Linked DNA regions of Canis lupus familiaris. The protein of the gene in region 3 interacts with the protein of the main gene of each other region in a pairwise test. Links are inferred from orthologs where the notes say so. Each region holds a gene or a part of one and is shown on either strand. Other genes may lie near its edges. The genes, in order: SNRPG, SNRPD2 and methylosome subunit pICln-like.

What was found.
Region 1: the proteins of methylosome subunit pICln-like (region 3) and SNRPG interact in binary tests that used the Homo sapiens proteins (3 or more experiments, as listed by UniProt). The two-hybrid records come from large-scale screens. The link is inferred for Canis lupus familiaris from reciprocal best matches to the Homo sapiens genes CLNS1A and SNRPG.
Region 2: the proteins of methylosome subunit pICln-like (region 3) and SNRPD2 interact in binary tests that used the Homo sapiens proteins (3 or more experiments, as listed by UniProt). The link is inferred for Canis lupus familiaris from reciprocal best matches to the Homo sapiens genes CLNS1A and SNRPD2.

The regions. Positions count from the first base shown.
Region 1 is NC_049231.1:70,134,939-70,139,162, reverse strand, and holds the start of SNRPG (small nuclear ribonucleoprotein G), read left to right. Parts: upstream 1-1,318; 5' UTR 1,319-1,370; coding exon 1,371-1,402; intron 1,403-4,224. UniProt on the Homo sapiens protein: Plays a role in pre-mRNA splicing as a core component of the spliceosomal U1, U2, U4 and U5 small nuclear ribonucleoproteins (snRNPs), the building blocks of the spliceosome.
Region 2 is NC_049222.1:110,602,276-110,606,501, reverse strand, and holds the start of SNRPD2 (small nuclear ribonucleoprotein Sm D2), read right to left. Parts: upstream 2,927-4,226; 5' UTR 2,878-2,926; coding exon 2,876-2,877; intron 1,126-2,875; coding exon 946-1,125; intron 1-945. Other genes in the region: QPCTL (glutaminyl-peptide cyclotransferase-like protein), read left to right, coding at 3,625-3,900. UniProt on the Homo sapiens protein: Plays a role in pre-mRNA splicing as a core component of the spliceosomal U1, U2, U4 and U5 small nuclear ribonucleoproteins (snRNPs), the building blocks of the spliceosome.
Region 3 is NC_049260.1:41,163,387-41,166,861, forward strand, and holds methylosome subunit pICln-like, read right to left. Parts: upstream 2,063-3,475; coding exon 1,946-2,062; intron 1,788-1,945; coding exon 1,266-1,787; 3' UTR 519-1,265; downstream 1-518. UniProt on the Homo sapiens protein: Involved in both the assembly of spliceosomal snRNPs and the methylation of Sm proteins.

The DNA.
Region 1 (4,224 bases), on a different chromosome or scaffold from region 3:
CACTGAAGGAGGAGCTCTTGTCTTCTTAATTAAGAGAGTTATTAGGTACTGGCTTTGGAAAAACCTGGCTTTTATGGAACAGAATGGGATGAAAACCTAAACTCAGTATTGCTTATTTTGCCCCCAAAATAACAGAGTCCTATTCAGACAATCACTTGGTGACAGGAAGGTCAAAGGAGAAAAAGTAGGCAACTCAAGGGTGGGCTGTGATCCCTTTAAAGCAGAAGAGGGGCAACCCCCCACCCCATTACCAAATGCCACCCTTGCCCCAGGACCTTTGCAGCAAGCCGTGTTCCTGCCCCAGCTCTAGCACCTTTTCATTTTGATAAAGACCTTACTGTCTTTTTACCAACTTAGTACTTGAAATGATGATATAGCCTGCGTTGGGTGTCTCAAGTCTGTGATCTATTTTCCTAGTGGTTCAGTTTTAAAAAATAAATAAGGTTTAGTTTTTTCCTCCACTACGGCGTCTCTCGTATGCGAGCAGTGAATCTACAACTTTCTTAGGATGCTTCTCTTTGTAATGTGTAAAATAAGTGTCTGAAGACGTCGTGAAGAGTAAAAACTCGCTGTGATTCAGACGCGGGACTGGTTCATTGTAAATGGGGGAAAACAGGACAAGCTAAGGCCCTGGGACTCGGAGTCCATTAATGTAAAAATAACCGTGGGAAGGCTAAACCATCCATTTCGGGACCGTAGCTGCTTGTAAGCAGCGAGAGGTGGGAAGTTGGGCAAATGCCACCTGTAGGATTTTGAGTGCTAGAATGAGGCTCAGTCTTTTATTCGTATTTAAATAGAGCCATTCCTGGACATTAGGGAGGAACTGAATTTTGGAGAATCATCCTCTACTCAGAATCACCGAGGCCTAAGTCTTTTTTTTTTTTTTTTTTTTTTTTAAGATTTTATTTATTAACGAGAGACACAGGCAGAAGGGAGGAGCAGAGCGCCCGATGCGGGGGCACCGCAGGCTGATCGACCTTGGCAGGACCAGAGCCCAGCCCTCCCGAGCGCGTGCGCACTGGGCACGTGCGAGGACGCTAACCCGCGCAGGTCGCAAAGCGAGGGATCCGCCAGCTGCGCCGACGACTTAGAGACCCAGCCCTTACGTCAGTTTCACCAATCAGGAAACGGAATTGAGGAGGCGACCGGAAGTCCCACCCCATGTAGCCCCATGCAGGCCAATCGCTGGCAACGCAACCGGAAACTCGCGGGCGTTCGGCAAGTCCGGGGGCGCCCTCAAAGTATCGCGGGAGGGAATGTGACCTCTGCCGGCGTTTGATTGGCGGCGGGGGCCGGTGACGTCAGGCGCCAAGCGGCGGGAGCGTGAGGGAGCCGTGTGGAGGCCTCTGCGAGCTCGCCGAGTCGGCGCCATGAGCAAGGCTCACCCTCCCGAGCTGAAAAAGTGAGTACGCGGGAGGGCCGCGTGCGGGTGGCGGCGTCCGTGCGCCGGGGCCCCGCTCGGGGGGCGGCAGAGCGGCTCCGCGGGGCGCGAGGACGGGGCGGGGCGGCGGTTTCCTTGAGCTCTGTTCTCGGAATCTCCCTCCGGGGCGCCCGGGGGCCCAGCGGGGTTAGCGCCGCCCGCGGCCCAGGGCGTGACCCGGGGTCACGGGTTCGAGGCCCGCGTCGGGCTCCCTGCGTGGAGCCTGCTCCTCCCTCCGCCCGGGTCTCTGCGCCTCTCTCTCTCTCTCTGTGTCTCTCTGTCTCTCTCTCTCTCTCTGGGTCTCTCATGAATAGATGAAAATTTAAAAAAAATAAATTTTTTTTTGATCTTGTGCAGAAGTTAAGACTTGGATGTCACGTGATCTGTTAACAGCGCTGTGGGGGAACGTTCATTTTTTTCTTTTTTTTTAATCCAAGAAAAGTAAGTTTTTTTCTTTTTTCCTGCATCCAGTAAAAATCCCCTCAAAACCGGATGTTCCTACTTGCGTGGGCCCGGGCTCGGGGACGCTGGGCCGAGCGTGTGCAGGGCCTCCCGAGTGCCTCCGTCTCGTGTCCGCCGCGCAGTCCCAGGATTTCTGCACGTGGTAGCGCAGAACAGGAGAACGGGACCCGGGGGTCGCTTTGTGAAACAGCCGTCCGCCCTGTGCGTGGGTCACGTCCTGCCAGCCTCGTGGAGGAGTCAGACTGCAAGAAAAAGCCGTATTTAGTAATTGTGCTTTTTTTTTTTTTTTTTAAGATTTTTTTTATTATTTATTTGAGACACAGGCAGAGGGAGAAGCGGGCTCCATGCAGGGAGCCCGACGCAGGACTCGATCCCAGAACCTTGGGGTCACGACCTGAGCCAAAGGCAGCCGCACAACCGCTGAGCCCCACCCCCCCCCACCCCCGGGCTGCCCAGGAAATTGTGCATTTAGGGGCGCCTTGGTGGTCAGTCGGTTAAGGGTCCCACTCTTGGTTTCAGCCCAGATCCTGATCTGCTGGTGAGATCAGCCCCGGTGGGCTCTGGGCTCAGCGTGGAGTCGGCTTGGTGTGTCTCCTCCTTCTCTGCCCCCTCCCCACTGCTCGCCTGCTCGCTCGCACGCGCACTCTCTCTCTCTCTCTGGTTCTCGCTCTCAAGTAAATCTTTTAAAGAAAAAAAATAGTTTTACATTGAAATGCATATTTGTATCAAAGCCATTTTTTGTGCAAGAACTCCGTGTATTTTAGCTGGGTCTGTTGAAGTGTTCATCGTGAGCCCGACGTTAAGAAAAATACAACTTATTTTGGAGTTCTGTCTAAAACTCTCTTTCCTTGACGACTTGGCAAAACCTTAGAAGTATTCTCTGGGTTCTTCACGAACTGGTGAGATGCTAATTATTTTTAGCAAAAGAACCATCCTCTACTTGTAATCTTAGATTACCTTTTTCATTTCTTAACAGGTGCTTTTGTTTCTTAACAGATATTTGAGAATTTCACAGGATGAAACTGGTTTTAATAATTTCTCTCATCTCTCGATCTCATGTACTTTGAGACCATCCTCCAAAATGACCTTCAATTTTTTTTCTCTTTTATTTCTTCACAGATATTTTCTACTCTTTTATGCCCTCCTCCTGGTTTAGCTTAATTCAGTGGTTCTTAACTGTGGGGTAGGGAGCCTGTTTCTACTGGCAGGCCGCTAGTGAGTAGAAGCTAGAGATGCTGCTGAACATTGTACAACGCGCTGGACATCACTCAACAGAGTTACCTGGCCCCAGATGTTACTAGGCCGGGGTGGAGATACTGAGACCTAACCAAATTCTCCATCCCACTTCCTAAAAATCACTGCCATGGTGGTATTGCCAATGACTGGACTCTGCTTTAATAATTTATGACTATCTGAACAGTAAAGTGTAGACTTGTTGGCACGGCGTTCAGGCTCTTCCATCTGAAATGCAAGGTGCCAAATATGACACACACTAGTGTGGAGTATCCCATTCTACAGCCAAAATGAACCATTTGCATTTGCTCAAACTTTCTTACTATGTGACTTTAGAAAATCTTTCTGACCCTTGGTTCCTCATCTGTAAAATAGTGATAATAACAAGATCTCACTTAGGGCTAAATAAGTTCATATGTGTTCTATTTGCTGTCTTTTATATATATCCTATTAAATTATTTTATATATACTACAACGTATTTTGGGGTGTTTTTTTTTTAAGGTTTCATTTATTAGAGAGCATGTGAGGGGAGGAACAGAGGGAGAGGGACAAGCAGACTCTGCACTGAGCATGGAGCCCTACTTGAGGCTCCATCTCACAACCCAAGATCATGACCTAAGCCAAAACTCAGGTGCTCAAAGGAGGCGCCACCCAGGTGCCCCAGGCCTGTGTCTTAACTTACCTTTGAATTCTCTCATACATTAAAATTGCATGAAATTTCAGGGGTGCTTGAATGGCTCGGTTGGTTAGGTGTCCAACTCTTGGTGTCAGCTCAGATCATGATCTCATGGGTGGTGAGATGGAGCCCCCTGTGGGTCTCCACGCTCATCAAGGAGTCTGCTTGATAGTCTCTCTCTTTGCCCCTACCCCACTTTTGCAAGTGCTCTCTCAAATTTTTTTTAAAGATTTTTGTTTATTTATTTGAGAGAACATGAGCAGGGAGAGGGGTAGAGGGAGAAGCAGACTCCCTACTGAGCAGGGAGCCCTTTGTGAGACTCAATCCCAGGATCCTGGGATCATGACCTGAGCCAAAGGCAGACGCTTGAATCACTGAGTCATCCAGGTGCCATTGAACAAATCTTTAAAAATTGCATGAAATGTCATATTT
Region 2 (4,226 bases), on a different chromosome or scaffold from region 3:
CATGGTCATGTAACAGCTCGTGGCAAAAACATTCTAGACTTACACTTCGCCATACCACTTCCCAAATGCTAACTGAAGGCTGCAGGTTTTATGTTTATTGAGCATTTATCATGTTAGCTACTGAGCCAAGTACCCTTCCTACAGAAATATTTAATCCTCACAACTGTTCTATGAGGGGTATTTTTATGACGCACAGTTTGCAGACAAGGACACTGAGGCCGAGAGAGGAAATAACACTTGCTGTTCCCTCTGGCTGAAACACTCAGACCCTGGCTTCCTCCTTCATTGTATTTAGGTCTGTTCATCACGGTCTCTTCCTATGGAACCCCTAGCGTTACCGTCTAGGACAACACCTCCTTCCCAGCACTCCACACTCTCACCTGCCTTTACTATTCTTATGACACATTGTTTGTGTGCTTGCTGTTGGTTTCCCTACCTATGGCATAAGCTCTCTTAAGTATAGGAGTCCTCTTTCAGTCATTGCTGTGTCTCTGGAGCCTAAAAAAAGTACTGGGCATGGTACTTTATTTTTTTCTTTTGGGGCATGGTACTTTATATCGTAACTGCAAAACCTGATTAATAAGAGCTTCCTGGTGCCAGATGCTGTACTTCTAATGACTGTATTACACATCACATGTATTAAGTCACTGAATCTCTGCAATCACCAGAATTACTGCCATTGAATGGAAGAGATAAAGTTACTTGTTGAAGGTTTCATGGCTGCTAAGAGGCAGAGTCGAGACACAAACCCAGGAAGCCTGGCTCCCAAGTACATGCCCATCACTACTGTACTGCACAGCTGGAAGGACAACAAGACACCATTGCACTTTGAGGTCTGAATATGCTTATGCCCCAGGACTCTGAAAACCTTGTATTTGGGTTCCTCACACTGGAACTGTGTCTGCATTTCCAAGACAGAACACCTTCCAGGACCCAGGTGCTTACCTGTCGAAAGCCTTCACACGGCCCAGGAGCTTCTTGTTGTTGCGGCAGTTGATAAGCACCTGGGTGTTGTTCTTGACTGACTGTGTGAGCACAGAGAGCGGACCCGTGTTAAACTCTTCCTCCTCCCGCTTCTGTAGCTCCTCTGGGGTCATCTCACTCTTGGGTTTGTTGAGGAGGCTCCTGAGGGGCAAGCATGGAACCCGTAGGTGAGAGGCCCAGAGCTAGAGCGTGGGTGGTCACATGATGTCTCCCCAACCCACCCACCCCCCTGCTCAGTCCCTCTTGCATGGCATCACCAGCTGGATGCTGAATAGACATTTCCAACCGTATACATCCTCAGTTGAGCTCCAGATCTCCCAATCACTCAAACCTACTCTTTCCACAGCCTTCCTCATCTCCATCATTCTAGTTCCTTGAGCAGAAACCCTGATATCAACTTGACTCTTCTCTCTCACATCCTACATTCAATGTCAGCAAATTCTGTCATCTGCCTCTAAAATATACCCAGAATCTGTTTCTTACCATGGCCTAAACCTCTATCATCTCTCTCCTGAGAGCCTTACTTGTCTCCCTACCTCAGCCCATGCCGCTGACCGTCTGTTCTCCACAGCAGTCCCAGAGGTTGTATCAAAATCTAAGTCATATCATTTCACTCTTCGAAACCCTCCCATGGCTCCCATCTCTGTGTAAAAAGTAAAACCCAAAGTTTTTACAATGCCTGGCATCTTCCCATCCTTCTCTGTTCCAGCCAGTGGCCTTGAAGGTGGTCCTTTAAGATATTAGGCAAGGGGCGCCTGGGTAGCTCAATGGCTGAGCATCTGCTTTCGGCTCAGATCCTGACCCAGGGGGAATCCCTGGGTGGCTCAGCGGTTTAGCGTCTGCCTTTGGCCCAGGGCACGATCCTGGAGTCCCGGGATCAAGTCCCACATCGGGCTCCCTGCATGGAGCCTGCTTCTCCCTCTGCCTGAGTCTCTGCCTCTCTCTCCCCCTATGTCTATCATGAATAAATAAATAAAATCTTAAAAAAAAAAAAAAAAAAAGATCCTGACCCAGGGATGCTGGGATCGAGTCCCACATCGGGCTCCCTGTGGGGATACTGCTTCTCTGTGTCTCTCACAAGTAAATAAAATCTTTAAAAAATATATAAGATATTAGACAGACTTTCACCTTGGGCATCTCCCTTCGTTTTCCCTCTGCCTGGATACCTCCCCAGGTATCTTTGTGGTTCTCAGGTTCTTCAGGTCTCTGCTCAACTGCTGCCTTCTCAATGTGTCCTGCACTGGTTATTGAGTTACTTTCTCTCAAAACTAGTACTCCCCATTGTTTGGATCCTGCTCTTTTGCTTCTTTACTCACTTAGCTCTGATCACCTAACACACGCCATACACTTTACATTTTTATCACCGGTGTGTTCATTGTCTGCCTTTTCCCACACCCATAAGCTGCAGCAGGGCATTTTTCTTGCGGGATGGGGGTCGCAGTCACTGATGTATCTCACGTAGTTAAAGCAGTGCCTAATACATGAGTGCTCAATAAATAATTGCTGAATGAATACCAAATCAGGAAAATCATTAAGGCGATTCGTGAGCCGAAAAAGTCGCGAATGAGGTGAACTTCTCCAGCTCAAATTGTCCGGGTAAGTCCCGTACCTCAAACCGTTATTTCTAAAACTCCGCACTCCCGTTTCCCAGGTTCTTTGCTTCCCCTTAAAATCCATTTCAGCGAGACTCATTATCGGGGAAATCCCGGCTCATTAACTGATCAAGTGCCTTCCCTCGAACTCAGGACCCGTAAAAGGCCCCATGCCCATCCTCAAACTCGTCAGAACGGTGCGTACTTTACCCCTAAAACCTCTGCCTCCGATCCCGCCTCGCCCACCACCGGCAAACGGCCACATCTACGCCCTCGACCCCACTCCCGCCGGGCCTCACATGGTGGTAGCGGCTGCGCTCGCAGATCAGCTCCGTCTTCCCCGCGTTGCTCCTGCCTCTGAAGAGAGGGCTACAGGCGGGACTTCCGTTTCCTGTGGCCGACTTCCGTCGGCGCCTGCGCAATCCCAACCTGCACGGTGTGGGCGAGGCCTGTTGCCGTGGCAATCCGCGCCGGCCCCGCGCAGACGTGGGGTAGAAGCACTGCGTAGTAGCTCAGGGTCTTTCAGGACCATATGGAGAGAAGACAATGGAGAGAAGAATAAAGCGGGTCCGACTCAAATCGTTTCGTTGTAGAGCGGCACAAGCTGAAGAAGGGACAGGACACGGCATTCCAAAAGCCCGCCGGCTCCGCCCTCGGGGGCGCGGCCTCCGTGTAGCCAATCGGCTCCTCGCTTCTGGGACGGGCACCGCCCCTTTTCCATCGGTGTCGGTTCGTTTACGTGTCTATTGATCTTTCCGACTTCGAGTAACCAATCCTTTGCCTTCCTACGGGAGGGGCGGAGACCTGCTCCTTGGTCCAACGTTTTTCAGGATCAAACATTGCTCATTGGCTTCCGTTCCTCCGTTGAGGCGGAGCCTCTCCCTTTCGCACTACCCTTTTGGGTTGTGCAACCCTCAGGGGAACCAACCCCAAAGCCCCAGGGAGACAGGAAGGCGTGTTCTCAGAGTGAGGGTCGCCATTGGTTTCACTGACCGAGGGTGGGTGGGATGGTGCAGCCGCTCTTCGTGTTTATTGGTTCGGTGATTCCATGGGGTGGGATTTGGCTGGGCCTAAACTATCCGCGGTCCGGGACCGGTTTCGGGGCGAAGCTGCCATGCCTTCCGGGGGCCGCGGGCGGTCCCGGCTACGGCTCGGGGAACGTGGCCTCTTGGAGCCGCCCTCCCCGCCCAAGCGCCGCCTGCTCCCGCGGGCGCACTTCTTGCCTCTGCTTCTGCTGGCCCTGGCCCTGGCTTCGGCGACCTACACCATCTGGAGCGGCTGGCACCACCAGACTGAGGAGCTGCCGCGGGGCCGGGAGCTGCGGGTGAGGCCCGGCAGGGGCACGGGCACCGCGGGAGCCCTCATTCCCCGCCTCCCCTTCCCTGAGGTCTCAGGTTGACGTGGCTGTGTCGTCTGGCCCAAGCTGCAGGTGCTGCGGTCTCCGTCGATAGAGCGCATGCCCGTTGCTAACGAACTGAGGCTTTGGGCTTGTTCTGTAATAGGTGGTTCTACCTAAGAGGGAGAGTCTGCAGTAGTAACACTGGGAATTCTGGGTTCCAATCTGAAAGTCAGCTATTTGGAAGAGTCCCTTCCTCTCTCTCGGCCTCGATTTCCCCATCAGGATTGAGGTGGGCTGGACCTGGTGGGTTT
Region 3 (3,475 bases):
GTGCATATATTTCTTTGTTACTGTTTTTTTTTTTTCTTTGTTACTGCTTTATTCCACTTTGAATAAATACTCAGAAGTGGCATTGCTGGATGATATGATAGTTCTAGATTTAATTTTTTTAGGAAACTTCATACTGTTTTCCACGGCAGCTGTACCAGTTTCTGTTCGACCAACAGTGCACAAGTGTTCCCTTTTCTTCACATCCTCACCAACACTTGTTATTTCTTGTCTTTTTGATACTAGCCATTCTAACAGGTGTGGGGTGATGTCTCACTCTGGTTTTATTTTGCATTTCTCCAATGATTAGATTAGTGATTTTTTTTTTTTTCCAGTGGGCTCCATGCCCAGTGTGGGGCTTAAACTCAACCCTGAGATCGAGAATCACATGCTCTACAGACTAAGCCAGCCAGGTGCCCCTAAATTAGTGATGTTGGGATATTTTCTTTTTTCTTTTTTCTTTTTAATAGAAAACCTAGACTTATTTGTTAAACTATTACAAAGACAAAACAATTATCATTGAAGTACTGTGAGGACTTCGTCCCAATTTCATTTGTTATGGAAACTGACCTAAGAGGTTAGAAATTAAAGGCTATAACCTAAGAGGTTATAACAAAACAGACTGGTGAAACATGGTGAAAGAAGTAAAAGCTAATCAGAAGCATCCATATTAGTGGTATTTCATGTGGCTAGGATATTTCCCAAGAGGCTCTCTAAAGATGCCTAAATGAATTAACCTGGATCCCAAATTAGTAAAAAGACCTTAATCCCTGTGAAGAACAAGCAGTGGCCAGGATTTCTCTGAGATCTCTTTGTCTTTCTTTTTAAGGGGTAAGGGAATCCTTAGGCTCTAAAGGATATATCTTAGATTCAGCCTCCTTCCTTCCCATCCAGTCTACCTATGTCTTCAAGTACCTGCGCATTCTCACCACATAGGCCTGCCAGGTTACAGAAGATGCATATAGTGAAAGCAGGAACTATAGGCCTACTCAGAGGATACCTATACACAAAAGTTTTGGGTAGATGATAAACTACAAATACCCTCTTGGTTAAGTTAATTCACCTTTGTTAATAAAGGTCATAGTTTCTTCTGCTGGTGACAACTTTTTGTCTCAGTATATAGTCTGTCTCAAAAAAAGAACTGGTTCAGGTAAATTTTGGAGAAGGAAAAAGACTTTCATCAACACCCACTCCACAGTAGAAGAGGCACCAAGTTCTTTAGTTCTTTCCTAGTTATGAGCAGAATCCCACAGCAGCATAAATCATCTTCAGTGATCAACATCTGCATCCTCAAACTGTCCAGCAACTGTTGGTGTAGTGTCTACCTCCATCCCATCTTCATAATCTCTGATTGAATCTTCTGTCCGGACTCCAACCATGTTATATTGGCTGCTCACAGACTGAGAAAGCATTCCTTCTAATCTCTCCAAGGTGGCTTGGCCTTCTGCTGTTAAATGGGATAATCCTTCTTCATAGGTATAAAATGTAGGGATGTCCCCCTGCCCTTGTTCATGTGCTTCCACATCATATTCTTCTCCATCGTAATCATCTGAATCTTCATCCTCAGGATCAGGATGCAAAGCCTGGCATTCACACATTGCAGTGAACATTGCCTCCAATGCTGATTTATCACTAGGCACAAATCTAAATTCAGCAATAGGTTCAACATCATCATCACTGTCTTCTTCTTCAGCAACAGATTCTTTTGATTCTTCTCCAAATTTAGCATTCACCATAACATACAAATGCTCTGTGGATAGGCATTTAGGTCCCTGGACATCGCATGCAAGCTAATGGTGGGGTATTCCAGTGAGAATCCTAATCCAGAGCCATCTAACCAAGACAGGTGGATATCTTGCCAAGAGCAACACCTCCCACACCTTTTCACAGAAGAGACAGGCACATTGATGATTCTCACTCAGGGGCCGGAGACTCAAAACCTCTCCGCGATGTAGAGCGTGCCGGTGCCGAGGCCCTTGCCCTTCAGCACAGCCTCGGTCTTGGGCTGCTGCTGCCGAAGCCCCTCGGCCGAGCGGGGCAGCGGGAAACTTTTGAGGAAGCTCATTGCGGCAGGGAGCGCGGAGACATAGGCCAGGAGGGAGCTGCCGCACGGCGACTCCCGATGTTGGGATATTTTCATGTATTTGTTGGCCATCTGCATGTCTTCTTTGAAAGATCATTTATCTATTCATGAGAGACACAGAAAGAGAGAGGCAGAGACATAGGCAGAGGGAGAAGCAGGCTCCATGCAGGGAACCTGATGTGGGATTCAATCCCAGGACCCTGGGATCATGCCCTGAACCGAAGGCAGATGCACTCAACTGCTGAGCCACCCAGGCATCCCTCTGCCCGTTTTTATTTTTTTATTTTTTTATTTTTTTTATTTTTTTAAATTTTTATTTATTTATGATAGTCACACAGAGAGAGAGGATGGGGGAGAGAGAGAGAGAGAGAGAGAGAGAGGCAGAGACATAGGCAGAGGGAGAAGCAGGCTCCATGCACCGGGAGCCCGACGTGGGATTCGATCCCAGGTTTCCAGGATCGCGCCCTGGGCCAAAGGCAGGCGCTAAACCGCTGCGCCACCCAGGGATCCCCCTCTGCCCGTTTTTAAATAAGTATTTATTTATTTTTGCTATTGAATTGTATGGGTTCCTTATATATTTTGGATATTGCCCCTTATCAGATATATGATTTACAAATATATTCTACCCTTCAGTAGGTTGCCTTTTCATTTAGTTGGTAGTTTCCTTTGCTGTGCAGAAGCTTTTTAGTTGGATGTCGTCCCATTTGTTTGTCTGCTTCTGTTGCCTTTGCTTTTGGTATTAAATCCAAAAAAGCATCACCAAGACTGTCAGGGAGCTTACTGCCTATGTTTTCTTGGATTTTTTGGCTTAAGGTCTTAGGTTCAAGTCTTTAATCCATTCTGAGTTGATTTTTGTGTATGATATAAGCTAGTGGTCCCCAGTTTCATTTTTCTGCACTGGCTGTCTAATTTTTCCAATGCCATTTATTGAAGAGACTGTCCTTTCCTCATTGAAAGTTCTTGGGTCCTTTGTCATAAATTAATTGGCCATATATGCATGGGTTTATTTCTGAGTTCTCTGTTCTATTCTGTTAACTTATGTGTCTGTTTTTATGCCAATACCATATTGTTTTGATTACTATATAGCTTTTGTATGATAGTTTGAAATCAGCACAATGCCTCCAGTCCTGTCCTTTTTTTTTTTATGATTGCTAGCATGTTGTTATTGATTTATAAGTTTTCTACATGTTTTGTTAGATTTATACTTGAGTATTTCATATTTCTAAGTGATTATAAATGATTTTATATTTTAAATTTTGAAGTCCACATTTTCATTGCAAACAAATACAGTGGGTTTTTGTATTGTATCCTGTTTCCTGTGACTTCATTGAATTCAATTATTAGCTCCAGGAGGTTTTTATTTTTATTTTATTTTATTATTATTATTTTTAAAGA